4 linked regions of the Rattus norvegicus genome follow. The main gene of each other region encodes a partner of the protein of the gene in region 2 in a complex. Links are inferred from orthologs where the notes say so. Each region holds a gene or a part of one and is shown on either strand. Other genes may lie near its edges. The genes, in order: Bach1, Fbxl17, Skp1 and Keap1.

Region 1 (7,338 bases), on a different chromosome or scaffold from region 2:
AGAAATAGGCTGGGAAGGATCTTCAAGACAGATCTCTGGAATTCCCCGTCAAGGGTCCCAGGCAGAGTGTACCCTCAAGTGAGGCTCCCAGGTAAAAGGACAAGCAACGTTTCAGATGTGGCATAATCAAATATGGCTCTGATCTCATCAAGTAGAACCTGACTAAGGAATTTGGAGCAGTGAGCAGGAGTTCCCAGTTGAGCCTTCTCCCTATGATTGTGACTCCCACGGCTGAACTCTTGACTTCTCTTTTCCCCTGTAGATCTTTGAATAGCATGGGATCTCTATTGGAAACAGCTCACTTTCTAGCTCCTCTCATGGATACAATGTTTGTACTCTTTGGTCTCTGTACTGGCTGGTTTCCTGTGTCAACTTGACACATGCTAGAGTTATCACAGAGAAAGGAGCCTCCCTTGAGGAAATGCCTCCATGAGATCCAGCTGTAAGGCACATTTTCTCAATTAGTGATCAAGTGGGGAGGGCCCAGCCTACTGTGTGCCCTGGGCGGGTAGTCCTGGGTTCTATAAGAAGGCAGGCTGAGCAAGCCAGGGGAAGCAATCCAGTAAGCAGCATCCCTCCATGGCTTCTGCATCAGTTCCTGCGTCCAAGTTCCTGCCCTGTGTGAGTTCCTGTCCTGACTTCCTTTGCTGATGAACAGCAAGGTGGAAGTGTGAGCTGAATAAACTCTTTCCTCCCCAACTTGCTTCTTATTCATGGTGTTTTATTGTGGCAATAGAAGCCCGGACTAAGACAGTCTGTTTTGCCGTTTTTCTTCCCATTTTGTCAAATAGTTGGGGTGGGCAGCCCATGCTAAAATACGTGTTCTTAGAGGACAAGTCAAGATAAACATGCTTAAGTAAAGTAATTATATAAAGTAATTTTTCCAAATAATGTACTGGAGAGGTGTGGAAAGCAGGCAGATTATACTTTGTCTCGGAACGGAAGTAGAGTGGATGATGCCTCAGAACTCTCGAATGTCTGTCAGAGCCCTCATCAACCCACACCCCTCATTTCTCGCTGATTACCTACATAATGATTTCAGGATCCGGAAGCCACCTGCCCCCATGTCTGGATCCCCTCACGGCCTGTTGGATCACACTCCTCTCAGCCAAGCCCTGGTTTTAGCTCTGCTTCCTCAGGAAGCCTTTGGGTTGTCACTCACACGGCCACCCACGACACTTAGGCCCGATTCTCACCTGTTTTGGAGGTAATTGAGTGTTCTTAAGTCACAACAGTTTATGCACTGAACAGATGTAGTCATGTCAATGATATTACTACTGGGTAGCAACCCCTTGCCTGGAGCCCCTGGCCTGTCATGTGTGTTTAAGGAGTACATTGCATTTTGGGGCTACCCATTTTTCTGCATCTTTCCACTAGAACTCAAAGCCAGCAACACGATTTCTTTCCAGAAATCCTACCAGGGCTACACGTCTCAGGGGCTACAGGCCTCTGGGGTGGTAATTCCTTCCTCATTTCTAATCAGGTCAGTCAGCCCAGCACACCCCTTCTCCAGACTGATAAGCCTTGTGGAGAGTGCATGCAGCCTTGCAGAAAGACACTGCCTTGAACCGTGAACATAATAAAAAAAATAAAAACGAACAATTGGACAAGCATTCAAATAAGTAGCTGAGGATAAAAGCAGGGGCAGGACTTGAGGAACGATGGCTGACATCAACAGGACATTGAACCGGCGTTCATGGTTCCTGGTGGTACAGCATAGAAGGACAGAAGTAGGCTACCAGATGCTTAGTACATTATTCCGGATGTAAAGGCCGGTACAATGTGTTTGCTTGTTGGTGAATACAGCTAGTAAATAAGAGTGCAGATTATTCAGGCAACTGTGAAGGGCACAGGAATTACTCTCAAAGCAGTGTCGGGCTGAGTACAAGCAGCGAAAGGATTTGATCAGGGAAGCATGCATATTAAAGGGTTATAATGAGCAAAGCACAGTCCAGGTTACATACATGCCTTGTGGTTTTCGAGGAAGGGCCTCATCGGACACAAACAACTTGAAGGGGAGTTAGTGATCATTTAGAAGGGCAACAGCCTTCTCCTCTCAGAATCTGCTCCTAAAAGTCCTGCCTAGCTTCAGACAGATGTTGACACACCCTTTTCGGCAAGTTCAAACACTTGGTTCTCACGCTCCTACAGGAAAGCAGCACAGGAGCTTAGCTGAACCGAACTTCCGAGGTTTCTGGAGGTTGTGGGGCAGAAGACCCTAACCTAATCTGTTGTGTGTGGGTGGCGAGAACAACAACTCAGGGGTCGTGGAGACGTCAGGTTTTTCTTTTTTTTTTTCTTTTTTTTACCTTCAGCAGGTTAGAGGAGGTGGTCTCCCGGGACGTGTAACCTTGCCACCAAAGGCAGAGGAGGTAGGGCACGCGGTTGGAGGCCTGGGCACACAGTACTTTGCTCCACAACGTTACACCGAGTTCGCCCAAGGCGAAATAGAGATCCTACCAGCGGAGGGCGTGGCCTGGAGCGGGGCGTGGCTCAGACACGGGCGTGGCCTGGAGCTCGGCGGGGCTTCAGCCAGGAGGCGGGGCCTGGGGCGGGGCGGGGCTTTAGCGCCGGGAGGCGCTGGCGGCGGTGGCGGAGTGGAGCGGAGCGCAGGGGAGGAGACGGGCGGCCGTCCGCGCGGAGGGAGTGAGTCACCTGACCGCCGCTTGCCGCCTGCAGTCGGGCCGTGCCGCGCCTCGGCTCCGGTGAGTGGCTCGGACGGTGCGGGCTGCCGTCCTTCCCGGGGGTCACCGGGGCTGGTGGCGGGCGGCCGCGCGGGCCTAGAAGGGGCGGCGGACTGCGTGCTGTTTACGCGGTGCGCGGACACTCCGGGTCGGCCGTGCCGGCGCCGCCCTGCACCGCGCTCCGCGGGCCGCGTCCCGCTCCGCCTGCTGCGGGGGCAAGGCCGAGCCGGCCGGGGTTCCGGGACCAGCCGGCGGTCCGCGCTCCCCTTTGTTGTAGCTCGCCGCACGTTTGTAATTTAGACTCGCACAGCATAGGCAGAGTGGGGTCTCGATGATAGACATCAGCTTTGTGTTCGTGTCTGGTAGCGCCAGGGCCAACGCGTTCTCGATCTTCTCCGGTACTTTGGTGTCATTTAGTGGAATTGCGCCGCTGGCTTTTATGTAGTGAGCTCTCTACGCTCAGCGTGCGCTGAGTCAAGGCAGACGTAGTAATTCTGAAAGAACGTGTGTGGGAAAATCCAGCTCCTGCGACAGGCTTGGAAGAACAAAGACTGTTTTTGCAGGATGCTGTTCTTTTTTGGAGAACTGTAGTGTTGTGACTGCTTGCCTCGGAGGATGCCCCTGCTGGGTCTTTGTTTAGGTATTCGAGCACTCCTTTCAGACTACTGTGTTTGCAGGGAAGGCAGTTCAGAAAGATTAAAGGATGAGCACCGTAGATTTGTTACTGGTCGAGCCTTTGAGCGCTACAGAGAAATGGGAAGAGGTATGGGTTGGCCTATTCTTCCTGCTCTTGTGGTAGTGGTGCAAGCTCTGGGCTGGGCTTGAAGGCGCTTGCCACTTCTGGCTTTGGACCTCATAAGGGAGTCTAGGGGAAAAAAGGCTCCTGGTGAGTCATCTTGGAGTTGAGTAGCTTTGGAGGAGTGATCGACTCTTGTTGTTTAACCGTCGTCGGATCTGTCAAGTGGCTTCCCTTTGTTCACTACGTTGGTTGGCTAACAAGGTAGGGTGACTCTTTAAAAGAGTTTGTGTTGCTGAGTCATTCACCCCAGTCTGAGAGGTAATTAGGAACAGCTGGTGCAGATACGCGCATCACATGCCTCCACTATAAAAGGGTGAGCTGCACACACGAGGGCTTGCTTCGGGAGGCCGGAGGGGGCCCAGCTGCGGGCTGTGTGTTTTGATACAGGTAATCAGTAGGTGACGTGGGAGAGCATGCTTAGGACGTGGCCAAGTAGCATCTAGGTGGTGTTTAAACAGCAGCCGCGTGGCCTACTGCGGGAGAATCAATTTGTGCTGGAGGAAGCGGTGTCTGAGGGATTTCAGGTAGAGGTAAGGCATTCAGCAGTATTGTAACAAAACAGTATTGTAACATTTCCTTCTCTTGCTGGCCTTGCTTTGCCGTTAGCATTGATGCGGAGTGGTGAATACATGCATAGTTATTCTTTATAAAAGTTATTTTTTTTTTATGAGGCCACAAAGGGGATTTCCTTTTAGGGCTTTTAGGTTTTCCCGCATAGCTAGTTTTTGGGGAGAAAGGTGGGAAAGGATAGAGTCAGCAGGTCTTCTTGGGTCAAGCCCAAGAAGAGGGGTCTATGTATGTCTCTTGACTTTATGGATCTTGTGGGATTTCTTTTTTGCCTGAAAAAAAAAATGAACACACACTCACACCAGTCCTCCGTGTAAAGTTTGAAAAGGAAACGTGTCTGAAGGGGAGGAGAGCTGGCTTCTTATGAAATTTTTTAACATTTATTTATTTATTATTTATTTGTTTGACACTTGCATTTGTGGGTCTTTCCATTTATCCTGTGGGTTCTGGGGCATGGACCTCAGGTCATCAAGCTTGGTGGTGAGTGCCTTTAACCACTCAACCTTTGCATGGTCCCCAAGGATGATACTGAATTTTTTATTATTGACGGTTTTCCTTTCAAACATCTGTAGCAGGGAAGCAGTTGGTGTGCTGCTTTAGATTTAGGGATTATCAACATGTCTTTTTAAGATGTTAGGAGATTTCAGGGAGTATACAGAGTGATTGATCTAACATGAAAATACCCACAGCAAGAAGTTAAAGAAGCAGAGTGACATCAATGTCTGCATATTAGATAATGTGGTTATACGCACATCATCCCTTTTGTCTGTTGAGGGATAAAGTTTGCTTTCCACTGCTATTACCGCTATTCCAAGTCTGCAACAGACACTGTGTGTGTGTGTGTGTGTGTGTGTGTGTGTGTCTGTATTTTCTGATCTCTTCCTGAGAGCTGTAGTTATTTCAAAATATTCTTAGTACTTACTTTTCACTTCATGTATAGTTTTTGTATCGTAAAGACCGGAAGATGTAAATTTCTTACTACATTCTTAAAGTTAGTGATAGAGATTAAAAAAAGTTACATTTTGATAACATTTTTTGGATTTGTAGGCAACCCCCTAGGGCGGTTGGTGAATGTGTGTGATCTGAACAGTAGTGGTTAGAATTTGGGATGTGATATTTATAACAAAAACTTTAAATTTTAAGGTAAAAATTCTCTTACGCTTTGGAGGCCTGTGGATTCCCCCTCTTTTTATATTCTTTTGATTATTCTTAAAACTGTGCATTTAGGTAATCCTTAGGAAGTGGAGTTTCTTAGACTGCCAACCTCTTGGGGTAGTCACTAATTTTTTATTTACATATTTGTCTTAATTCTCTGTCTCTGTCTCTCTGTCTCTCTGTCTGTCTGTCTCTCTCTCTCTGTGTGTGTGTGTGTGTGTGTGTGTGTGTGTGTGTGTGTGTAGGTTTGAGGACATCCTGTGGGAATAGGTTCTCTTTCTCTACCACACGTGGGTCTGGGCACTGAACTGCGGCCTGAGGCCTGGCAGCTGACACCCTCACCCACTGACCTGTCTCACTGGCCCAGGAGGCATGGCTACTATTTACCATTGGGTTCCACCTCAGGGCCTATGGAAGTGACTCTCACCAGAGCAGCCACAAAGCTTGTTGAAATGACCAAGTGTCAGAAGACTCTTCACAGCGCAGCAGCTTGCTCTGTCCCTGGCTGACGGTTTTAACAGTCACCTCCCTTCACGGTTTCTACCTTTCTTTTGGTGGGGCGATTGTTCGAACCCTCAACCCTGAGTCTCTCAAGCCTGCAAAATGAAGGGATTATCTCAGGGGGTGGGATGGACGGTTTATGAGATTCTTTTGAGTTAAAAAAAAAATAAAAATGCCAAGTACCGGACTCAAGTGATGCCCGACACATTGGGAATGTGAGCTCTGTTTGCTAAGGCCTGACCTTTTGCCGAGAGAAGCATTTCAGAACTGCAGGTAAAATACCAGTTTACATCTCTGTCAATCCCTGGCTCCTGGCTTAGCAGTGCATGGCATTGACATCTAAAGTTGGGGTCCCTGTACAGTCTCTAGAGAAGCCATATGTTCTGGATGGGAAATACAGAACTAAATTGCTAAAGATCCGTCAGTGTCAGCATCGTCGTCTTACTTGGGGTCAGCTGTCCTGTGCCTTTCTGTTTCTGAAAAATGGGAATGATGGTGGTGGTGGTGGTGATAATGATGATTGATGGTGATCATGGTCTCTATCATAGATTGCTGTGAGGATGAAGTGTGATACCATGAATCAAGTGGTCAGGACATAATTTGTTAGGTGCTATTTTCTGGTGTCCAGAGAGAGGCAGGTTGAATGCTTTCTTACTTGGTTTCGTTAGGTCCTTCTGGGAGCTGAGCTAGCGGCCACCATCGCTGAACACTTGCCGTAGGGCAGGTGTTGGGACTAGAAAGTTTCAGGTTGGTGCTCATGGGTTCTCAGGCTTGGCAACACTGTGGAGCACCCCATTCTGCCCTGCTAGTAAAATGTAATTGCTTTTTGAAGAAGTAAAGAACACTGAATTTTCTGTCTGGATCCTGCTCGAATCCTATTGAGGATGCCCTCACCATTGCATTTAGCAGCCACTAAATCTGGCCACTCCCCTCCTGGCTTATTAGTGCTAGAATGGGACTGGGCTCTCCATTCTACTTTCTGGACTCTGTCCAGTTTATGGGGAGCATGGATAGCACACATTTACCCTCCAGATGCAGCCTGTTCACCCTGGGTTTCCTTTCCATGACAACCCTGTAGAGAAGCTACCTGGGATAGGGACCCAAAGACAGGGGTGTGTTGCAGGTGCAGTTGCAGGTGCAGTTGCAGCTGTGATGGTTCCAAATGCACATCAAACACTTGGATCCTCTCTGTTCAATCCTTCGTGAGTGAGTTCCTGCTGGCGAAGATATGTCTGCCCCCTCCCTCCTCCCAATAGCTCAGTGTGCCCTGGCTGTGTTTGCTTACTAACCTGTTTACTGATTGCACAGCGATCCAGTGTGGGCTAGTTCTGGTCCTCTGGGCTCTGAAATTCTGTTGCTTTTAGCAGTTTACTGGGGATGGTGCTATGTGTCCTTCTTGACTGTATACTGAGTTGACACACTTAGAGGTTTTGAGTTTCTGTTTTCATACTCCGTGATTATTGAGGAAGTGGCTGGAATTAACTCATTTTTAAACCTTCTCTTGAGATTGAGAAGAAACTGATCTCAAGATTTATTTATTTATTTATTTATTTATTTATTTATTTATTTACCTGTGATTGATGTAGAGGGGATTGAACAAATATAATTTGGGTTGTGGAGCTGTTCCCTGTC
Region 2 (6,601 bases):
AGTTTAGGAGATTATGTGGTGTCAGCTTCAAAACCTTTTAACATGCTTATCCATCCAGCCATCAGAAAGCTGCTCTTACAGAGACTTCTTAATGCACCTCCTAACTTTACAACTTCGTGGGGGAAGGCGGAAGGAGGCCTCCCCAGGACTCAGCAAGGAGGCAGCCAAACACATTTACTGCAAATTTACTTAGACACTGATAATCCAAGTATATGCTTTCTCAGTTGCAGAGAACAGTTTAGTTTTCCTCATCTGGAGGTACAGGGAGGACAGACACAGAGAGATACTGAGCCTTTTTTACAACAAGTAAACACTATTCTGTTGTTATTCTTGTAACCTCTTAGAAGCTAAAGTGAGGGAGAACCTACGAGTTTGGTAAAATACAGCCTCCAAATTAAATATAAGCAGCCCCAAATGAAACTTCAATGTGAAAGGAAACACAACTGGATTCTACCACTCCTTTCTTTCCTTGAAACAGTCTCACGATTCAGCCCTGGATGACCTGGAACTCACGGTCTCTGCTTCTGTCTCCCCAGTTCTGGGAAATCACTACCATGCCCAGTTGACTTCACAGATTCTAAGGTCCAGAGAACCCAGTACATGACGGGAGAGGCATACAAACTCACTCACAGGTCTCTCCCCAGCTTGGGGATCCTGCTGACCACATTCTGAGGAGGTGGCTAACTGTAGATGATAAAGCCTCCTGGTCCTGGGCTGGCTCCAGACGGGGTGGGCTCTCTAACTGACTGAACCTGGTTAGTAGCTGTCAGAGCTTGCCTACTACTGTTTTGTGTTTCTAGAATACTCTGCCTACTGCAGGCCCTTTAACTGTAAAGTTGACAAGGTTAGCAACAGCATGCTCTTAGCCAGCGATGACTGTGGAGGGAGACTTGTTCCCCTGGGTCTCAGTGCTGTTGCTAAGATACAAAGCAAGCAGCTTTCTGCACCCGGCTGAAAAGATACAGTTTCTAGAATGTAACTGGCAAAGGTCTAGAACAGTTGGAAACAACAATTAGATCTATAGGCAAAAAAGACAAAGTAGGGAGCAGGGAGGGTTTAGGGCCACTGTTACTTTGCCCCATATTTGTCTACATTTAGAAAACACCTGCCCTTTGAGCAACATGGTTTTCTAGTATCAATTCTTGTGATAGATTTGTTCCTTATTGTCTCTGCAGAGGTGGCACAGACAGGTAAACTGGAATACGGGGAGAGCATTGTTTTAGTGCATACCTCGAGGTTCACCATGGCTAAAGGCAGCCTTGGCACTGTGCAAGAAAGGTCGGAATCAGAGTCCAGAGGCTGTGTGTGAGCAGCCTTCTGCAGGTATCTGAGAGTTCTCAACCTCCATTTTCTTGCTTTTACAATGCAAATAAAGTACTCATTCTTTGATTTGTTATGGGGAAATTGCGGAAGTCATGGAGGAGAAACCATCTACCTAGGGTCTGTAAAGATGGTCTCCGTTTCCCTCCTCAGTCTTCAGATGTTGAACCTTCACTCCCAATCCTACAGTCACGTTCAATCCCAGCCAGCTGCCCATGGACCAGTGGCTGGGCCTCTGGGGCCATTTTACACATGACAGGAGAGACAGTGTGATGTGCAGGGAGACATACTCTTGCTTCCAATGGCCAGAAGAAATGGAGGTGGAGAAATGAAATGAACACGTATGAAAAGCCAAACTGATCCTTTACTCTTGCAGGAAGTTTAAAATCTAGAACTCTCTTGTCAGACCATACACATAGCAGTTTGTATGCAGCCTTTCTAAGTCTGCTGTGTGGACATAGGGAAGAGAAGCTCCGCCCCACCACGGCACCATGCGATCATCCTTTTGCTCTTAAGTACGAACACCCATTATTAACCAGAAATACAAAAGTAATTCTGGATTGCTTTAGGAAGCCAGGGAGAACATGCATGGCTAACAGTGTGTATGGGGTGTAGGAAGAGAATGCGGTGTTGCGCTATTTGCTACAGTAACTGGAAGCAGAAACCAAACGAGTCCGTCTTACTTTATCACATCTCATCAGGCCCAAGTATCTCAGGGACTTGCTGCTCTGTGCAATCAGGGTGGCTCCTTGATCTGTGATTTCTTTACACCATCCAACATCCACAGTCTCTATGGTCACGCTGTATCGCCCAATGGCTATCAGTGCTGCAGGAGGAACAGAGAGAGAGAGAGAAAACAAAACAAAACAAAACAAAAACATTGGCGTTAGCAGGGTAAGGGACCTCTAGCTGATCACGGAGCGCATTTCCTGACAGAACTGGTTCCTGAAATGCTGTGTGCAAATGAATGTTTCATAAACTAAATTAAATTGGAAATGCTTTAAGAAGGCTTGCCCTATGACAAACCCTTGTGTGTGGTGAATAATCATTCCGTAATTTCCCTCTCACTGGACTCAGTCTCTCGTAGGTTTATTCACGTCAAGGTCACATATACTTTCAAGCATCCAGATGTGCAGGAGGAATCGATACAAGTGAGTTCGAGATGGGGCACTGTAAAGGCCCAAGTGCTAGCTAAATTTTGTTCAAGGTAACTCTAATAATTCTTCAAAGAAAAAGAATGCCACATAAACACCATTTTGAGGTGTGTTATAATGCATGCAAATTTCTTTATGCATCAGTATAATTTTTCCCATCTGTGTGTGACCTGTAAAATGTAGGAGCATATAATATTTTTCCTATTAGTTCTTCTTGGCTGTTGGGAATTAAGAGTACATTATACATGTAGTTGAACTAAATTGGTGCCAGGCCAAAGAGCAGTAATGGGAATGTATTTGTTATGGTAAATTTCCTTGCCATATCAGAAATCTTCCTTCTATTAATATATAAAATGAGTTTGCCATCTGAAAACCACAACATTATCTCTGGTGTTCTTGAGTCCTTATCACTGTGCCAATACTGAATCGCAGATGCTTAGGCTCTAATCTCAGATGCACTCTAGTTATCCCTGCAAAGTGCCAAACCCCTGCAGGAGCCACCAATCAGCAAACAGGGCTGTTCTTTGGGGACTTCTGTGGTTTAATAGGTGAGTGTGGCTCTAACGTGTACGACACGTAAGAAGCGGCTTTTAATACCTGCCCGGAACATGTTACAAAGCATGAACCTGTGACGGAAACCCTAACAGCGCTAACACACATTAAAAAGGAGAGGAAGTGTGTGCTGGTCCCCTACTCTCATGACATGGTTTCATTTCTGGGACTGTTGAGGAGCGGGTATTGTTTTAAACTGTGCTGGCTTCATTTAGAAAGGCAGAATGTCTTTCTCATGTATATAAATACAACTCAGGAAACATCACTGGGCAAAATCTGATAACCACCTCTGAAATTTATTTTAACTATTATCCCCATGTCCACGGGTTCCCATAGCAAAGCAATCCCAGAAAGTCAGGTTTTTATGGTTTGTAAATCAACAATCACTGTCCCTGTTTTCAATTAAATATGCCACAGAGAATCGTTTAAAGTTCCTTTTTCCACCAGTGTTCATTTAACATCTTCGAATTGGACTGAAAGCATGTTCCAGTAGTAGGATAGACACACTATCCCAGGTTCATCCCACTGTGTCTCTGACTTGAGAAGACTATTACTCTCTGGGGTATTGGCATTGTTTTCAGGGGTTAACAATATCCTCAAGACCTTCTATGATAAAGGAGGCAGGAGGTGCATAGAAGAGTTCCCTTCCAGTCCGAAGTGTTCTGTGGGGCTTACTAGATGAAAATGCACAAGTTACAGGGAGCCTCGAGGTCAGTAGATTGTGAACAGCTGTGTTACCAAGATTTAAGACTGACACAAAAGTCCTGCACTATTCAGGAAGAGGTAAATAAATGACATGAGATGCTTTCCCAGGCTGCCCACTTTAGAGCAAACAAGGAGTCTACAGGAACTGCAGACCTGGTTCTGGAGTGACCTGTGTTTGGAGTCTTCCTTTGCTCTCTTGTCCAAATTATAGTAGATGATGGTGCCTGCAGGTAAGCAGGGCTTGTGGTTTAGTTCTGGCCTCCCTCTGTCTCAGCTTCACAATTCCCAACACAGCTCTTTCCTTCAGTGAACCCCACGAGCGCTAAAGCATTCTCTACGAACAGCCAAGACTGCCCTCCATAAGTCAGGATCTGGACCAAAGCTTTCTGGTTAAGAATCTGATTTAGCCTTCACAGGTACCTTAAAGATCGGGAAATCAAGTCACAGAGAGATTGAATGACTTCCACGTGGTCGCCAAACAGTAAAGATGGGAACAGGATCTTAAGGCGGGAGTGGGTACCCAGTCCTGCCTACTGATCAGATGTGCACACCAGAGAACCACAGGGCGTGGCATCCTAGAGGTGGATCTGTGGTCAGACAACTGAGCCTACGGGTGGGGATGTGACATGCTTGGAGCTCACGGCTGGCAGGTTGGAGGTGAGGGTGAGGCGAGGGGGAGAGAACAGCTCAGTAAACAGTCACAAGACCATGCTTTCTCCACCTCATTCTATTCCCACCTCCTTCTCACTGCCCAGACTTCAGTGAGAGGCCACGTGCTCAGAGTTCATCACCATCAGGGCCACCAGTCTCACCTGGGGATATAGCATTTACTTACTTAATGGCCTACCACTCCCATTAAGGTAAGGATGCCCTTACTGCAGTGAGCCTAGTACACAGCCCATGCCTGGTAGACAGTGGGCCCTCAGACATGCTATAAATGCAAGGGACCATTGCGCCTAGCCCAGTCTGTGGGAAGATGAAGCCTTCACCGAAGAACTAACCTAGAGTTCTCTGAAGAAACAAAGGCTCATTGGCAACTTGGCTGGCTGGAGGGAAACAGCCTATCGAAAGGTGGGGATGAGAAGGGTCAGGGCGTGCAGGTCATTCTATGAGGCTCAAGTATAAATGAGTCAAGAGTCACTGTGGAAACATCCCAGGATTGGCGAGCGATGCTGGGGCAGATGCAGCATGCAGAGCAGAGTCCTCAGCACCATCATGCTACAGTCTAGAAGACACAGTTACAGGACACGGAGTAAATCCAATTCTGAACTGTCATGGGTATTCTCAAAAGGCAGACTGACAGCTATGGGAAATAATGGGTCTAGGTCTGTGTGTGCCTGGGGTACGGGCTGGCCTTAGGATATTCTTGGTCAAATTCTCCTTAATCCACTGCAGGGAAAGAGAACTCAGGCTAAGTAGCTCACAGAGGCTGGCTCTAACAAAGGGGTGCAACCTAGGGAAGGAATGCGTCTGCTCTCTTCACTGCTCTCTCAAGACCTAATATTACAGCTTATGGATGGCCAAGTATTTAGTCTGTGCTGATAGCATTGACTTAATGGGAATTTTTGATTACAAAATATATATAAAATAATCTCTCTCTCTTGAAATATATGGTGCCTCTGGCAACTTCTTCATTTGTGGTTCATGAGCTAGCTGTGACACTGTAATACAATAGAACTTCGGGTTCAGCTCTAGCCACTCCATTTAGTAGATGCCTGACCTCAGGGTGATATTTAACTTGTGTGAGACACCACTTCTTCATCCAGATAATAGGGATATTGACTGGATGTCTCACCCACTTCACAGGTTCAAATGAGATAATGCATGTAAGGGACATTTTGTTACATAAATGTCATAGTTGGTTTGCCGTTTCTGCAAACCACGCTAGTGAGCGGTTGGTACAAAATGAAAAGGCCTGGCTGGAGCCTGGTGCATTGTCTGCAATACAAGCTTCTTGAGAGGCTGCAACAGGGGCAGCATACGCTCACATTAGCCTGGCCACAGGGCTGGCTCAAGGCTGGCCTGGACAGCTTTGGGAGAGTCCATCTGACAAGTGAAAAGGTTACGGCTAGAGCTCAGTGGTGACGGACCTGCCTGGTGCGGACTCTGGGCTCCGTACCCAGTGCCACAAAATGAAAAAGCTTCACAGTGCCAGAGGAGGAAAGGCTCTGGGGGCCTGAGAGTGTTGTGTAAGTGCTCTGGAGCCTGTCGCTGCTGAAGCCCTTGAACTGCCCACTCTACTGGAGATCACGATTTGTAAAGTGCACCTGTGCTTGTAGGCGTGTACACATGTATGTACACAGGTACATCAGAGGCTGGTGACACACTGCTCCAGTAGTTGCATGGACGCTAACTCCTAATTCCAAGGCAATTTCAACACACTTGTTCATGTGCTAAATGCAACTAAATGTTCAAAAAAAAAAAACCCACACAAATTAATAAGAGTTGCTCAGTAATTTTATGCTGATCAAGACTAAACATGAACCTACTGCCAGCCCTTTCCAGAGACATACAGACAGGAGCCAGAATGACTGCCAGACTCAAGTATATAGGCACTTAATTTTGACCAAGAAATTCCGCTTCTAGGGTTCTACTTTGAACATACTCCCATATAAAATACATAATAGGCTGAATGATATAAAAGTATGTGTGAGTTTATTTATTGGAGCACCGATTATAAGTGAAAATCAGAAAAAAGCCTGAATGCTCACACAGTGGAAGTCGAGTGAACAAGCTGTGGTGTTCATTCCCATGGTGACTGATGCTGAGGAAAAGGAACTGAGCGGAGACCAAGGCGCACTGGTTCCTGACGCTTAGGTGGAGAAAAGAAAAGCACAAAACAATGTGTGTGTGCTACCACCGTGTCCACA
Region 3 (7,401 bases), on a different chromosome or scaffold from region 2:
CAGTTAACCGCTGAGCCATCTCTCCAGCCCTTGGTTTGGTTTTGTTTTGTTTTTAAGTAACTTATTTTTGCTTTATGTCCATTGGTGTGAGGGTGTCAGATCACCTAGGACTGGAGGTACAAACAGTTGTGAGCTGCCATGTGGGTACTGGAGACTGACCGAGTCCTCTAGGAGAAGCAGCCAGTGCTCTGAGCCGTCAGTCTTGTTAGCTCCAGTTTGTTATTTTCAAGGAGGAGTGTCTGAGACTACTCAGGTTGCTCTAAAACTCATTATGTAATCCAGACTTGGCCTCAGATTTGTGCTTCTCTTGCCTCTCTTCCTGAGTGCTAGGGTTCCATGTGTGCATCATCAGGCCTGCCTAAACAAAGGGGTTTTGATTTCACGTATGCAGAGAGAATGAAGGGTGGCGCAGCTTTGGAGCACACGCGCACATGCACACGCGCGCGCACGCACACGGGAATCCTGACGAGTCAATTCTTTCAGATCTAGACTGACAATTACTATAAACTGGATGGAGATGCATTGCTCCCAGCTTATAGTCTGCAATCCTGCAGCCATCCTGGCTCCTTAAGCGGAGGTTTCCAGAGAAAGTAGAGTTGATTCAAAAAGTCTTTCCTGATAAATACTGCTGGCTCCTCCCTGGCAGCTCGTTATCACTGAGGCCCTATTACAGAGGTTTCTCCACTTACCCTAAGCTTAAGAATCACCTTGGATGGGGGTTGGGGATTTAGCTCAGTGGTAGAGCCCTTGCCTAGGAAGCGCAAGGCCCTGGGTTCAGTCCCCAGCTCCGGGGAAAAAAAAAGAACAACAACAAGAAAAAAATCACCTTGGATGGTTTAAAAGGCAGAAAACCCTGGGTTCGGTTCCCAGCTCCGAAAAAAAAGAACAAAAAAAAAAAATCACCTTGGATGGTTTAAAGGGCAGAGAACCCTGGGTTTGGTCCCCAGCTCCAAAAAAAAAGAAAAAAAAGGCAGAAAAGCCTGCCCCACGTTAGATTCATTACACTGGAAACTGACCCAGCTGCCTTTCCTTGAGTGGGGCCAATTATAAGTGCATTATTCACTTAAACATTCTTTTTTGATTTAGGTTCTTACTCTATAGCCTCAGCTGATCCAAAATTATGTAGACCAGACTATTCTTGAACTCACTAAGTGCAGAGGATGGTCATGAACTTCTGAGTCTCCCGTTTTTGTCTCCTGAGGTTACAGACTTGTACAGTTTATGGGGGTGTTGGGAACCAAACCCATGGCCTCACACATGCAAGGCAGGCACACCACCAATTGAACCACATCCCCAGAACCAGAAAACAGACTTGCAAAAAAAAGTTGTAGTGCTGTGCCTAACTCACTTCAGGGAAAAAAATTACTATGTAAAACATGCCTATGAACCCATAGGCAAATGGCAGGAAAATATACAAATCACCCAACATTTGCCCCACCTGCTAGCTCCATTTCTTTGAGGCAAACAATTTCTTGTGCATCTTTTGTGAACTAATTTGTACCTTAAATAGTCTGGGCACCGCAAGGATTGAACCCAGGGTCCTGGGCATGCTAAGCTTTGTCCCAGCACTAAAACCTCCATTTTCTCCTCCAAGCATTGGTTAATTCCTGTACCGAGGCTTTCATCCCTCTGGAGAAACATACACCTATCTTGTGACAGGCAGTGTACTGGCTTCTTAGACTAGCTGTATGACCCAGGACTGTTTAAGGAGCCCACCAAGTTTATGCCATGTGAGAGGAAAAGGCTCTCCAAGTGGGCCTTTCCTGGCAGGCCCTAAGTAGGAGCTGCGAAGGGCAGGCAGTGCTGCAGATAAAGAGCCTGAGAACTGTGGGCCTTTCATCTTCTGTCATCAGCTGTGGCACCTGGCAGACATTGGATACCACAGCCATCAGACAAAGACCTGGTCATTCAAGCCATTGCTTGGCCTCTCTGCCCAGACTTGTCCTGGAGAAACTGTAGGCTCTGGTTTCTTTAGGAGGCCCTGTGTGGAAACGTCTTTTGTCTTTGTGGTGCCAGGAATACCATCATGTGCTCATTGGCTAGGTGAGCCTGGCGCCTTGGTGGGGATAGTGATGCTCCCTAGACACAGCGGGGCAGGGCAGGCAAGTGCCCAGTTCCTGGCTGGGCTGAGGCCAGATGGGTCCTTTCAGACCTCTCCCTTTACTTCAAAGTTGTTTCATTCTAGCGACCTTATCACAGCCTTCTGTGAGCTGCCCATACAGCATAGTCTGTTCAGGTTGGGCTGACTGTCCTGGTTCACTACTGGATGGATTCCCAGCGCGGGCCTCACAGGCCTCACACACAGGCAGAGAGCATGATTACCCGAAGAATATACCCTCCATTCCACATCCCTGTTTTCTCTCTCCAGGCTTGGCGCTTCACTCCAACAATGGCTATTTGGGGTGTGAAAGCCTCTTCAAAGTTCAAAGGTAGGAAATAAAGGTTAAGATTATCCAACAAGGTGGTGCCTGCCTCCCAGCGCTGAGCTATTGGAAACACAGATCTGAATTTAAAGCCAGCCTGGTCTAAATAGCGAGTTCCAAACCTGGTTTATCTAGTAAGACCCTGTTTCAAAACAAAACAAAACAAAACAAAAAGAGTATAAGGCGAGTATATGTGGTGAAAAAAAAAAGCCGGTAATCTCACGAGTTTTAGACCAACCTGGTCTACGCAATGAATTTGCAGTCACTCTGTGCCAAACGAGACCCCGTCTTAAAATGCAAAGAAAATAAAAACTAAGCAGGTGCACCAAGTCAGGAGTATTTAGAGACACCTTGACTCAACATCCGTAATTTTTTAAAGCTCAGTTATCAGTGGAGTAAGGTTCAAGTCCTTAATTCCAGGTCGGAAAAAAAAAAAAAAAACCAAACAAACCAAAAACCCTTATTTCCTTGGGTTATTAGGAGAGTAACAGTGGTCAGGCTGAGGTGACTCCTTTAAAGCACACCCACCCACAACCGGTTTTGCGGTTTGTTCTTTCCAGGCTTTTCAGGACTGGGGTCTTTCAAGCAGTTTAAGACAGCCTCTGCCTGAAAGACCCTTCGGGTCGCGATGGTTCCCCAGCCGGTGCCGGCGTCCGCACGGAAGGAGAGCACGGCGTTGTTCAGGACGGCGGAGTAAAGTGGAAGTCCCCCTCCTGCTCAGCCACCCTTCCACCCATCGCCGCTCAGCACCTCTCCAGGAGACCTCTGCGGCGCCCAGAACCTGCCACCCGCCTTCCGCATGCCGTCAGGCACTCTCAACGGCCAGCCCGGCCGGCTGTGTGACGTCACGAACTCGGGGTCCTCGGTGCCCTCTTCCCGCTCCTATAAAAGCTGACGCCGCGCGGCGCTGCTGTAGTGGCCTTGTTCTCGAGACTTCTATTCGGTTGTGAACTCTGTTCGGCAGCCTCAGGCCTGCGGTCTTGAGACCGAGCACGGTGAGTAGCAGCCCGCGAGCCGGACCAGGTCCTGGAGGGAGGGGCTGGGTGGGAGCCCCGGGTTGGCTGTGGCGTGCACGAGGCGGCGAGTCGGCCTGGCGTGTCCTGAGGCGCTGTGCGGCCCGTTGCCGACCCCGGACCGCGGGAGGCGCGAGGCGGCCGAGTCAGGCCTTCTAGGGCCGCCCATCCTTTCGGCGCTCGCTCGCTGCTGTATCCAGCTCTGTGGCAGGCCTGCTCTTTTGCGGGCGACGTCAGTCGGCCCCGAACGCGGCTGCAAGGCCTAGGCTTCGTCCCGGGCCTGCCTTAGCGACAGGCTTGTTGCTCCGCGCTCCAGGGCGGGTTGGCCGCAAGGCTTTGAGTAGGGGTCCCGGGCCTTCCGGGTGGTGGCGGTCGTTGCCACTCGATACTTAGCTCTCTCCCTTCCTCCTGTATCTGGCGACATTTGCTCCTTACTGGTCTTACCTATTTAACCACCGAATATGCAGGTAACAGGTTCCCGATATTTCTTCGCTTTTTTTTTTTTTTTTGTCACGTCCTGCAGTCTCTGAACTTATTGTAATAGACCTTGTCGTCTGAGGTGTGTGACTTTTAGGAGCCCTTGACGCTAAAACCCAAGGTGTTGGGTTTTTAAGGGATAGTGTTAAAACATGCCTCTTGGCTCACTTTTTCATGGAGTCCTCAGGTTTGGAGACTCAGTTTTTCATCAGAATGTTACAGTAGACTGTGTTGTGGCAAAGAACAATGCACTCCCTTCTGCCCTGCAGTCCAGTAACAAGTGGCAGAATTTCGAGTCACTTAAAACAGGTTTGTTTTTAAAGTCTGTTTTAAGTGTACTAGAATTCTCATGCTAGACTTGGATGGTGGTTTAGTTTCCAAGTCCAGGAGCTTAGAGAACTAAAGAAGGGTTTTTTGAAAGCATATCAAATCGAAATCTCATACATTATTACTTAAAAATTTTGCACTTAATTCCACCACAACAAAAGTGAAGTCTAGGATTACAGAGTGCATTGAATTACAGATTAACTGATTGCCTCCCTGGCTCTCTTGCAAGTAACCTGATACCTAAATTTGACTATGACTAAGCATGTCTTTATTGTGAATTATTTCAAGGAAATATGGAATTGTCTTTTAAAATAACTTTATTAGCCACATAGACTTGTTCCTGAGTGATCATTACAGTGCTGGGGACCATAAAGAGAACATAGTGTTTTGCTATTAAAAGCTGGTCTCTTTAACTTTTATTGTTGCCTTATAAGGAGGGTCTGCTGCTCTGGGCTTCTCTGTTCTGCAGCATATTTGTGAGTTGAAAAGTGAACTCTTGAGTCTTTTCAACCATGGATGATTGTGAAACAAGCTTTATCCCCCCCCCCCCCCCAATTATTGTTTACTTGAGGAATGGGGACAAGTGTCTCAGAAAGCTGAATGAATATTTTAGGAGATACGCCGAGTCTTAAGTGTTTGACCCTTAAATAGGTACAATAGTTATTTTAAGTGCTAACCCTATAACACCCAGGTATTCCTCAGAAGCATAAGACCTGCAGAGTTACATGTGAGTTGGGGATTTTGGTGCCCACCTTTTTTTTTTCTTTTTTCTTTTTTCTTTTTTTCGGAGCTGGGGACCGAACCCAGGGCCTTGCACTCGATAGGCAAGCGCTCTACCGCTGAGCTAAATCCCCAACCCCAGGTGCCCACCTTTAATCCCAGCACTGGAGGCAGAGGCAGGTTGATGGCTGAGTTCAAAACCAGTCCTTGCTACAGAGCAAGTTGCAGGACAGCTAGGGCAACACAGAGGAACCCTGTCTCAAAAACAAACTACTAAAAAAAGTTGCTTATGAAATTTTTTTTTTCTTTTTTTTTTTTGGAGCTGGGGACCGAACCCAGGGCCTTGCGGTTGCTAGGCAAGCGCTCTACCACTGAGCTAAATCCCCAACCCCATGAAATTTTAAAGAGGTCTTGAATTACTCTTTTGGAGTAATGAGGGGGAAATCTGAAGATGATAAATTGCTGGTTTAGAGCTTTTAGTATTAATACTGGTTTGCTTTTGTTTGGTTTTGGTTTTTCCTAAAACTCAAGTCATGTTAGGAGCTAGTTGCTTAATTTTTTTAATATATGAAATTATATTTTTCCTAATGACTTATATTTTATCTCAGTTGATGCATTTTTGGATGGGGGGGTTGTTGAGATCAGTTTTTGAGACAGGGGCAAGAAAACTAGGCTAGCCTTAAATTTATTTTGTATGTATCAAGAAGATGGCCATGAACTCCTAATGCTTCTGTTTGCCAAAATGCTGGGATTGTGGAAATACTTATACTCTGTCTCACCTTTTGGGCAGAGGGAGAGGGCAATATTGCAGATTGAACTAGAGCTTTATACATGTTAGGCATTACACTCAGGAGCTGTATCCCCAGCCTCTTTTATATTTCATTTTAAGCAGGCTCTTAATGAGTTCCACCAAGGCTGGCTTGACCTCATTATGTAACCTAGTCAGTCCTTGAAATTATGATCCTCATCTTTCCAAAAACTGGACTTCACAGGACTGGTTCCTCTGTATATCCCTGACAGTTCTGGAACTCACTGTGTACACTGGCCTTGAACTCACAAAGATGCACCTGTACCTTGACTCCCACGTGCTGGAATTAAAGGCATACAGTATTACCATGCTATTTTAAATTTATATTTGTTTGAGACAGATTCTTATGTAACCCAGACTGGACTTGAACTTGGCTGTGTGCCCAATGTCTGAATTCCTGCATCTCAAGTACTGGGTTTATAGTACCTGCCACTATGACTTAAATGTATTTTGTTGTTTTGTTTGCTTTTTTGAGACAAGGTCTTTAGGTGTAGTCCTGGCTGCCCTATTTATTACATGTAAGTACATTGTAGCTGTCTTCAGACACACCAGAAAGAGAGCATCAGATCTCATTACAGATGGTTGTGAGCCACCGTGTGGTGGCTGGGATTTGAACTCAGGACCTCTGGAAGAGCAGTCAGTGCTCTTTTAACCACTCAGCCATCTCTCCAGCTTTGTTTGTTTGTTTTGAGTTTCTCTGTGCAGCTTTTGGCTCCCCTGGGACTTTCTCTGTAGACCAGGCTGGTCTTGAACTCTAGATCCGCCTCTGTCTCCCAAGTGCCCAGATTAAAAGGCATGCTTCGCCACTGCCTGGCTGAAGCAGGTCTTTTTTTTTAATTTGGTAGGTACTTAGCCAGACGATTTCAAACTTGGACATCTGAACAATAGGTAATAAAAAAATTTAAAAGGAGCTGGGTTCACACCTTTACCCTAACCCCAGCACTGGGAGGCAGAGGCAGGCAGATCTCTCTGTGAGTTGAGGCCAGCCTGGTCTACAGAGTGAATTCTAGGACAGTCAGAGATACACAAGGAAACCTTGAAAAACCAAAACAGAAAAAAAAAAAAGACTCTAAATTTAAGCTCCTTACGGGTTTTAGGGATCTTACTGACAGCTGCCTGTATGACCTTTATTTTCTTGTATGTGGTCTTGCACTTGTTTAGAAGTGAGCATATCCTAGTCTACTCTTTGGAGTAGTTTACTTGCTTTTTACTGATAGATTTCATTGTAGGATATTTACTTTTATTTGATAGCTTTATTTATTTTAGACTGACTTTGCTCGGTTTGTTAATAATTAATTGTGGCAATTAATTTTTCAGATTGAGTAGTTATTACTCCATGAGAGCATAAAGGAATATGGAAAGCATGTATAATATCTGGATTTCTTGGACCTGCCAGCAGATGAACAGTGACACAGAGACTTAATAATTTTATTATAGCTTAGGCTACCTCCTCGCTTGCTCATCCAACTTAAATAACCCCCATTAACCCCTCTCTCACTCCAACTGCCTCCCTGTCCCCATGGATTTCTTCTCCTAGAGACCCTCTCTGAGCCCAGAAGTCCCGCCCTCTCTTTTCTGCCTAGCTATTGGTGGATCAGCTCTTAACATCCAGCAAGAAAGGTGAGGAACCATA
Region 4 (7,170 bases), on a different chromosome or scaffold from region 2:
AATAAACAAATAATTGAACCTAGTCTGGCTTTAATCCCAGCATTGGACTAATGGCCACTTGGAAGGGAGAGGCAGGAGATGTCTGTGAGCTCCAGGCCACTTGTTCTACATAGTAAGACCCTCTCTTAAAAAAGGACTTTAAATTACATTTAATTACATTTAAATTACATTTATTGGTTTATTGGGTATGTATGGGAGGTGTGCGACAGCTCATGTCTGACGGGTAGGATCTCGCCTTCCACCTTGTGGTCCCTGGGATTGGTCTTCTGGCTTGGCAGTGAGTGCCCTCACCAGCTCCCAAAGGCACTGGGTTTGTTTGTTTCCTTGTTTTGTTTGTTTAACCCCCTCAGGAATCATATGCTGGAAGGAATCAACTTGTGCAAGTAGTATTCTGACCTCCGCATGAACTGTGGCACATACATTGCCCCCGAAATAAACACAATCAAAATTTTAGATTAATAAAATAAAATATAAAATGATAGGGAGCCTTACGGCTTGGCAGAGATGAGGAGACAACTCGGGAATGAGAGTATGGTATAAACTTCAAGTGAGCCACCAAGGTCCGTGTCGATTCTCGGCACCAGGGAACCTGACACACAAGAATCTTGGGTTTCAGACAAAAGCCTGGGCTATGACAACCTGCTGTCTCAAAAATCTAAATGAATAAACAAAATACATTCATGCTGATTCATACTGACCTTACACAGCCTGAAGGCTGTGCGTGTGTGTGTGTATCTGACCTGGAACTTGTTACGCGGAGCAGACTGGCCTCCAACTCACAGCTCTGCCTGCCTTTGCCTACCCAGTGCTGGGACTAACGGTGTGCGTAGCCACACTTGGTTTATGTGAGGTGTGGATGGAACCCAGGGCTTCGCACAGGCTGGGGAAGGGTTCTACCAGTCCAGGAGCACATCGGCCCTCCAAAGATTTATGCACTAGGCTTGATGTGCCCGCCACCCATCTTGTGAGGTCAGGTGTGGAACTGTCCACTTGAGAACGACAGATGGTGTTCAAAAGCTTTTGAAGCATTTCAGACTTGGGGTTTGGGTTGGTGATATTCAGAATGCAGTCATGTCCAGGGGACCTTTCTAGTCACTGCCACCCAGAGCCAAGGCTGCTGTTGACTGGCTTTCCCTAAGAACTGCCCTATTACTTTCCCTTGAGGACTTCCTGTATTCAGAAACGAAAATGAAAGCAATACCATGTGAACCCAGGAAAAGCCAAGCAAAGCTGGAGACTGCATGTGTGAGGTTGGTGGGTACCATTGACTGCCTGTTCAATCGCACTCCGAGGGTTTCTCTGTGTAGCCCTGGCTGTCTTGGGACTCCCTCTGTAGATCAGGCTATCCTTGAACTCTTGAACTCAGAGATCTACCTGCCTCTGCCTTCTGAGTGCTGGGATTAAAGGTGTACACCAATATGTTTGCACATATACACCCACACACCCCACTTTTTTTAGACAGGGTCTCACTGTATAGCCCAGGCTGGCCATCACTATTTTTAACACCAAAGAGACCAGGCTGCTGAGGCACTAGGAGGGCATGTCCTCACCTGATGCTCTCTGCATTTGGATTAGGGGCTCAGAAGCTGAGTTTTCAGTCCAGCAATGTGGCTTTGAGGGTAAAGGCATTTTCTGCCAGGCCCTATGATCTGAGTTTAACCTAGAAACATACATAAGGTAGCAAGAGAGAGCCAGTTCCTGCTATTTGTTCTCTGATTTCCACACAAGATCAGTGCATGCATATACACACAAATATATATATATATATATATATATATATATATATATGTATTTTTTTTAGGACTTAAAAAACAAAAACAAAACAAAACAATAGCTTCAATAGCCAGGTGTGGTGGTACACACCTTTAATTACTAAGGCAGGTGGATCTCTCTTAGTTCAAGGCCAGGCCAGTCTACAAATTGAGGTCCAGAACAGACAGGACTGTTACACAGAGAAACTCTGTCTCAAAAAACAAAAGTAAAAGAAAAACAAAAAAAGCCTCAGCTAGAGAAGTCTGCCAAAAAAAATAAAATCTAAGGTGCTGGAGAGATGACTCAGCAGTTGAGCGCACTACTGACTGCTCTTCCTGAGGACCAGAGTTCAAATCCCAGCACCCACGTGGCAGCTCACAACTGTCTGTAACTCCAAGACCTGACCCTTTCACATAGAAAAACATTCAGGCAAAACAATAATGCACACAAAATAAAGGTAAATGAATTTTTAAAAAAAGATTTAAAAACAAAAGTAAAACCAAGTCCTGGGGCTCTGCGTTCCATTCCAGTATCTCTTAAGTATACTGGGAGTCTGTGACTACAGTACTTGGGAGACTGACACAGGAATCAGGAACTTAAAACCATCCTCAGATACACAACCAGATTAGGGCCAGCCTGAGCTACATGAGGCCCTATGGAGAAAAGGAGGAAGAAAAAAAGAAATCTTCCTCCAGCCTTGAATGGCCGCTCCAGTCTCGGAGAGCACTATGCTGGCCCATCCCACTTCTTGTGACAACTGAGCCCAAACCCCAGGTCTTACTCACCTCCCCGAAGTGCATGTAGATATACTCCCGAGCACGCTGGTGCAGTTCCGTGCAGCCGATCTGCTCGGCGAAGTTGGCGATGCCGATGGCGTTGCTGGGGTCCAGCTGCTGCACGAGGAAGTCGCTGCAGGCTCGGACCACGCTGTCAATCTGGTACATGACTGCCCCGTTCATCACATGCAGCACACACTTCTCGCCCACGGAGATGGAGGCCGTGTAGGCGAACTCAATTAGCCTCTCCATGACCTTGGGGTGGATGCCTTCAATGGACACCACCTCCATGCCCTGCTCCCGAAGCCCGTTGGTGAACATAGCTTTAAAGACTGGGCTGGAGGAGGCCAGCACCACTTTGTGGGCCATGAATTGGGCAGCTGGGATGTCCTCATATTTGACCTGCAGGGTCACGTCACAGAGCTGCTGGCTCAGCCGAAGCTCGTTCATGATGCCAAAAGCCTGCTTGGTGTGATCCTCTAGTGTGTAACTGAAGGTTCGGTTACCATCCTGCGAGGGCGTCACCTCCGCCTTGCACTCCGTGGATGCATACATCACCGCGTCCCCTGCCCCCTCCGGGCACTTTGACCACAGGGGCAGGAACTGGCTGCTGCGGGGAGCCCCGCTAGGCTTGGGTTCGGGCTGCATGGGGTTCCTGATGACAAGATACAGTTCCACCACTAGCGATTAGGGGCCTGGAAGGAGGGAAGAGTACAGGGCTGGATTAGGCCAGACCCTGCCACATTTTTTTTTTGTTTGTTTGTTTGTTTCTTGTTTTCTTTTGAGACAGGGTCTTAGCCTAGGCTGGCTTCAAACTCACTATGTAAACAAGGCTGTTTGCTGTTTCCTCCCGTGTACTGGGACTACAGTTTGTGTCACCATATCTAGCCAAGCTTTAATTTTTTTTTTTTTTTTTAGACTAAGCAATGATTTCTAGAGCAGTTTTTGTCAAGCCAAGTGAACTGGACACACCCGGCTCCATTCAAACTGACTTCTTCTCAAATCACCGGCCGTTCCTTTTCCTGCTCAGAATCACCCAATACCTATCCCAGAGCCCAAGAGTGGAAACCCAGCTCCTCAATGGCCTGTAAAACTCCACACCCCCTTCTAGACCTCTTCACTCAGTTCCAGCCATGCTTCCCTTCCCTTCATCCGACATGTCAAATCCCTTTCTTCAACACCTCACCAAAATTTACAGAGCCTGCCATTTATACTTGCAACTGTTCTGAGCTCCAGGGACACAGCAGGAAGACAGAAAAGGCCTGAAAATAAAGCAAGGTCTGTATAGAAAACACTAGGCGAGCACCAAGGCCCTGGGCAGAGTGTGCAGCCTCTGGAACACCCACGGTGAGGGATTCAGGAGACCCTTGGAGACCTGGGGCCAGGACAGGAGTTATGCTTTCAAAGGAGATGTGGGGACACAGAGAGGGCCTGCAGCTGGCTCCCCAGGTTCTGGGGCTCAGCCTGGAGTCGCGTCCCCCAGTGTTATGTCTACTAGGTCACCATGGGGGGGACGACGATGAAATGCTCCAGGGGCCCCAGTAAGTGAGCGACTGTCACGCGTGACCACACTGCCGGAGCTCGGGCCTGGCATTGCGCAGAGGGCTGAGCAGCAGCCACCCGGTACCCGGTGCCTGCTCCAGCGGCCTCCCTAACGCTCGGAGGCGCAGCCCTGACGCCTGGAGAGCCCGCAGGGCCTGGTCCCGGGCCGCGGCCCGGAGCGGCGCACTCACCCCGCCATGGCCGCGCTCTGCCTCCGCCTCCGCCGCGCGGGTCACGGTGACTAAGCACAGCGCACCACCCTGTCACAATAAGAGTCCCGGGGCGCCGGCCGCGGGCGACCCCTACCCTCGACTCGCCTCGGCCACCACCCTACGCGGGTGCACGGGCTGGGCGCGGGTGCGCACTTGGAGGGGTCACGCGCTTCCCCCCACCGCGTGCACGTCCCCACGCGCGACCGCGGGCGGCGCCCGGAGCTGGCTCCCCACCGCATCCTCCGCGGGCGCTCGCTCACCTCCGTCCCACCCCCCCGGGTGTCTCTGTTGGTGCCACGCGTCCAATCCGCACCGCCGGGCCGCCACGCGCCGCGCTTCCGGGAGGAGCCGAGGGCAGCCAGGGGGCCTCGGATCGGGGCAGCGGTGCTGCGGGGTCCCGGGCGGCACGCGTGGGAGGAGCGGGAGGGCGGAAACAGGCGGCGGGCACGCAGAGGCGGTTCCAGCCCTTCCTGCAGGTGCCGGGCGGAGGGAGCAGGGCGTGGGTCAGGGCGGCCCTAGGAGCCTGCCTCCGGGTTAGGCTGTCCAGTACGCCTCTAGCTGAACCTGCCCCAGCGGACCCTCCCACACCCTACCCGGCCCAGCCAGACCTATGTACCTGGTTGAGATACAGATCTTCCTTTAAAATAACTTTTTAATGGTTTCTATTTCAATTCGCATTTTACTTTATGTGTGTGGGTGTTTTGCCTGCGTGTATGTCTGTGCCCCGTGGGCGTGCAGTGCCCCCTAAAGTTACAGGTTATCCACCCTGTGGAGAGGGGGAATTGAACTCTGGTCTTCTGCAAGAGCAACAGGTACTCTTAACTGCTGAGCCAGCACCCCAGCCTTATAACTTCTTTTTTGAGAATGGCCTCATTACATAGCCCTGGCTGGCCTCTGCCTCTCGCTCTGCCTCCTGCGTGCCGGGGTGAGGGGGAGTGGGGGGGTGGGGGTTTAAAGGCTGTGACACCACGCAGGGCTTTGTGTACATTAATTTATTTGTGTGTATGCTTGTGTGTAGAGGTCGGGGGATGACTGGCAGAAACTGATTCTCTTCCCCTATGTGGAGCCTGCAAGGTGCAACAGCAGCCCACTTTCCTCTCTCCTCTCTCTGTAGTCATTTTTTCATGAGGAGAGGTGTGGCATTCATCTGAGGGTGTTGGAGAGTTGGAATGCCCAGAATTGCCTTTCTTTGCATTTCTCATTATATATATATATATATATATATATATATATGATAAGAGATTCTTATTTGCTACAAAGGCATTTATGAGAGAAAATTATTTTCTTGACCTATAAGATTTGGCCAATTCTGGCAACTAAGTTCCATCCCTGTTTCTCACGTGGTAGTAAAAAACTTACTCCTCCAAGTTGTCCTCCAACCTCCACATGCACACATAAATTAATTTTGGAAAATAAAGTTATTATTGGTGCTGGAGAGATGGCTCAGTGATTACAGCACTGACAGCTCTTTCAGAGGACCCAGGTTCAATTCCCGGAACTGGTATTAGGGTCAAAATGAACGCCTATAACTCCAGTTACAGGGGATCCCATACCCTTTTCTGGCTTCCACAAGCACCACAACCATGAAGACAAAACACCCATACACATAAAATAAAGATAAATAAAAAAATTTAATATTATTTGACTGACTGGTGCAGACAAGATGTCATTTTTAGCCCAGGCTAGCTTTGAACTCTGTCTCCTGTCTCCATCTCTCCAATGGGATTACAAATGTGTATTCTGGGTTTTTTCTTTCAATTTATTTTTAATTTCATGTTCATTGCTGTTTTGCCTGCATGTATGTCTGTATAAGGTGCATACTGGATCCCTTGGAACGGGAGTTACAGATGGTTGTGAACTGCCATGTGGGTTCTGGGAATTGAACCCAGGTCCTCTGGGAGAGCAGCCAGTGCTCTTAACTGCTGGGCTATCTCTCCAGCCCCAGTTTTACTCATATATGTTTGAGGCTGGATTTCACTTTGTAGCCCAGACTGGCCTTGAGCACACAGTAATTCTCTTGCCTCAGTCTCCCAAGTGCTGGCATTTTTAATATAGACGCCACACTTTGCTATATAATTTTAAGTAATTATTTTATATATTTATCATCTGAATAAAGGAATGTCCGGTGGAAATGATGTTGATCCGTGTGGGAAGTTCCTGGAGACACCACATGAACTCGACCTTTCCTATGTTCAATAAAACTGCAATTCCAGCCTTCTCCAAAGGTGGCGTCTCACCACACTCAGCTATGATGTAGGTGTTGGGATTCCTGCCCTGGTGCCTAAGACCACAATTTCTGTCTCTCAAAGTCAAGCCTCCAGGCCCCATGAGCTGGCTGTGGAGATTTATCAAGGCTCATTCACACAGGTACAGCCATGATTATATAACAGTTTAACTGTCAAAGGACTCGCCCAACTCCTACATTTTTTTTGTAGGCTTCTGACTCAATAGCTGGTGGTATTGCTGTAGTGTGAAATACTATCCAGCCAGTTAAAAGAAGCAAGATGGAGCTGGACCTGGAGATGAAGGCATGAAAATTTAGCTACTCTGGAAGTAGCTGAAGCAGAAGAATGACTGGTTGGATAACAATGAGACCTTGTGTGTGATGGTTTGTGTGTGTGGTGTGTGTGGTGCCCAAGGAGTGGCACTATCAGGAGGTGTGGCCATGTTGGAGTATGTATGTCTCTCTGGGTGTGGGCTTAAGACCCTCACCCAACTGCCTGGAAGTCAGTCTTCCACTAGCAGCCTTCAGAGAAAGATGTAGAACTCTCAGCTCCTCCTGCACCATGCCTGTCTGGATGCTGCCATGCTCCCGCCTTGATGACACTGAACTGACCTCAGAATGTATGCTAGCCCCAGTTAAATGTTGTCCTTATAAGACTTGCCTT

What was found.
Region 1: the proteins of Fbxl17 (region 2) and Bach1 are in contact, whole or in part, in a cryo-EM structure (PDB 8UAH), measured with the Homo sapiens proteins. The link is inferred for Rattus norvegicus from reciprocal best matches to the Homo sapiens genes FBXL17 and BACH1. Residues at the interface, in NP_001156787.2 of Homo sapiens: Asp395, Arg421, Asn447, Gln473, Gln498, Glu499, Met524, Arg548, Cys574, Leu575, Tyr598, Val600, Ser601, Asp623, Trp626, Met651, Arg652, Val676, Gln678, Asp679, Cys680, Arg682, Thr683, Glu685, Gln689, Trp692; in NP_001177.1 of Homo sapiens: Val20, Leu21, Ser23, Leu24, Gln27, Val32, Leu33, Asp35, Phe39, His48, Arg49, Ser50, Val51, Ala53, Ala54, Cys55, Ser56, Ser57, His60, Ser61, Arg62, Val64, Asn72, Thr74, Pro76, His116, Asn117.
Region 3: the proteins of Fbxl17 (region 2) and Skp1 are in contact, whole or in part, in a crystal structure (PDB 6W66), measured with the Homo sapiens proteins. The link is inferred for Rattus norvegicus from reciprocal best matches to the Homo sapiens genes FBXL17 and SKP1. Residues at the interface, in NP_001156787.2 of Homo sapiens: Pro319, Asp320, Ile321, Asn322, Leu324, Pro325, Ile328, Lys331, Ile332, Phe333, Ser334, Asn335, Leu336, Leu338, Asp339, Glu340, Cys342, Leu343, Ser344, Ser346, Leu347, Val348, Cys349, Lys350, Trp352, Arg353, Gln364, Arg370, Gln371, Val373; in NP_733779.1 of Homo sapiens: Lys78, Glu79, Lys80, Arg81, Gln97, Gly98, Phe101, Ile104, Leu105, Asn108, Leu116, Asp117, Cys120, Lys121, Val123, Ala124, Ile127, Lys128, Gly129, Lys130, Thr131, Pro132, Ile135, Arg136, Phe139, Asn140, Ile141, Lys142, Asn143, Asp144.
Region 4: the proteins of Fbxl17 (region 2) and Keap1 are in contact, whole or in part, in a crystal structure (PDB 6W66), measured with the Homo sapiens proteins. The link is inferred for Rattus norvegicus from reciprocal best matches to the Homo sapiens genes FBXL17 and KEAP1. Residues at the interface, in NP_001156787.2 of Homo sapiens: Asp395, Arg397, Arg421, Lys423, Asn447, Gln473, Tyr475, Met524, Arg548, Asn572, Cys574, Leu575, Trp577, Glu596, Tyr598, Val600, Ser601, Asp623, Trp626, Lys628, Tyr647, Met651, Arg652, Val676, Leu677, Asp679, Cys680, Thr683, Leu684, Arg686; in NP_036421.2 of Homo sapiens: His59, Thr60, Ala63, Ile66, Met67, Glu69, Leu70, Gln75, Leu76, Gln82, Lys84, Ala90, His96, Val98, Ala101, Ser102, Ser103, Ser104, Pro105, Val106, Lys108, Ala109, Met110, Thr112, Asn113, Gly114, Val122, Ser124, Glu126, Gln163.

Annotation. Positions count from the first base shown.
Region 1 is NC_086029.1:40,423,103-40,430,440, forward strand, and holds the start of Bach1 (transcription regulator protein BACH1), read left to right. Parts: upstream 1-2,618; 5' UTR 2,619-2,705; intron 2,706-3,717; exon of another isoform or gene 3,718-4,013; intron 4,014-7,338. UniProt on the Homo sapiens protein: Transcriptional regulator that acts as a repressor or activator, depending on the context. Binds to NF-E2 DNA binding sites. Plays important roles in coordinating transcription activation and repression by MAFK.
Region 2 is NC_086027.1:110,243,734-110,250,334, forward strand, and holds part of Fbxl17 (F-box/LRR-repeat protein 17), read right to left. Parts: intron 2,147-6,601; coding exon 2,004-2,146; intron 1-2,003. UniProt on the Homo sapiens protein: Substrate-recognition component of the SCF(FBXL17) E3 ubiquitin ligase complex, a key component of a quality control pathway required to ensure functional dimerization of BTB domain-containing proteins (dimerization quality control, DQC).
Region 3 is NC_086028.1:36,899,573-36,906,973, forward strand, and holds the start of Skp1 (S-phase kinase-associated protein 1), read left to right. Parts: upstream 1-3,335; 5' UTR 3,336-3,418; intron 3,419-3,456; exon of another isoform or gene 3,457-3,897; coding exon of another isoform or gene 3,898-3,903; intron 3,904-7,401. UniProt on the Homo sapiens protein: Essential component of the SCF (SKP1-CUL1-F-box protein) ubiquitin ligase complex, which mediates the ubiquitination of proteins involved in cell cycle progression, signal transduction and transcription.
Region 4 is NC_086026.1:28,049,225-28,056,394, forward strand, and holds the start of Keap1 (kelch-like ECH-associated protein 1), read right to left. Parts: upstream 4,819-7,170; 5' UTR 4,543-4,818; intron 4,402-4,542; exon of another isoform or gene 4,262-4,401; intron 3,224-4,261; 5' UTR 3,177-3,223; coding exon 2,538-3,176; intron 1-2,537. UniProt on the Homo sapiens protein: Substrate-specific adapter of a BCR (BTB-CUL3-RBX1) E3 ubiquitin ligase complex that regulates the response to oxidative stress by targeting NFE2L2/NRF2 for ubiquitination.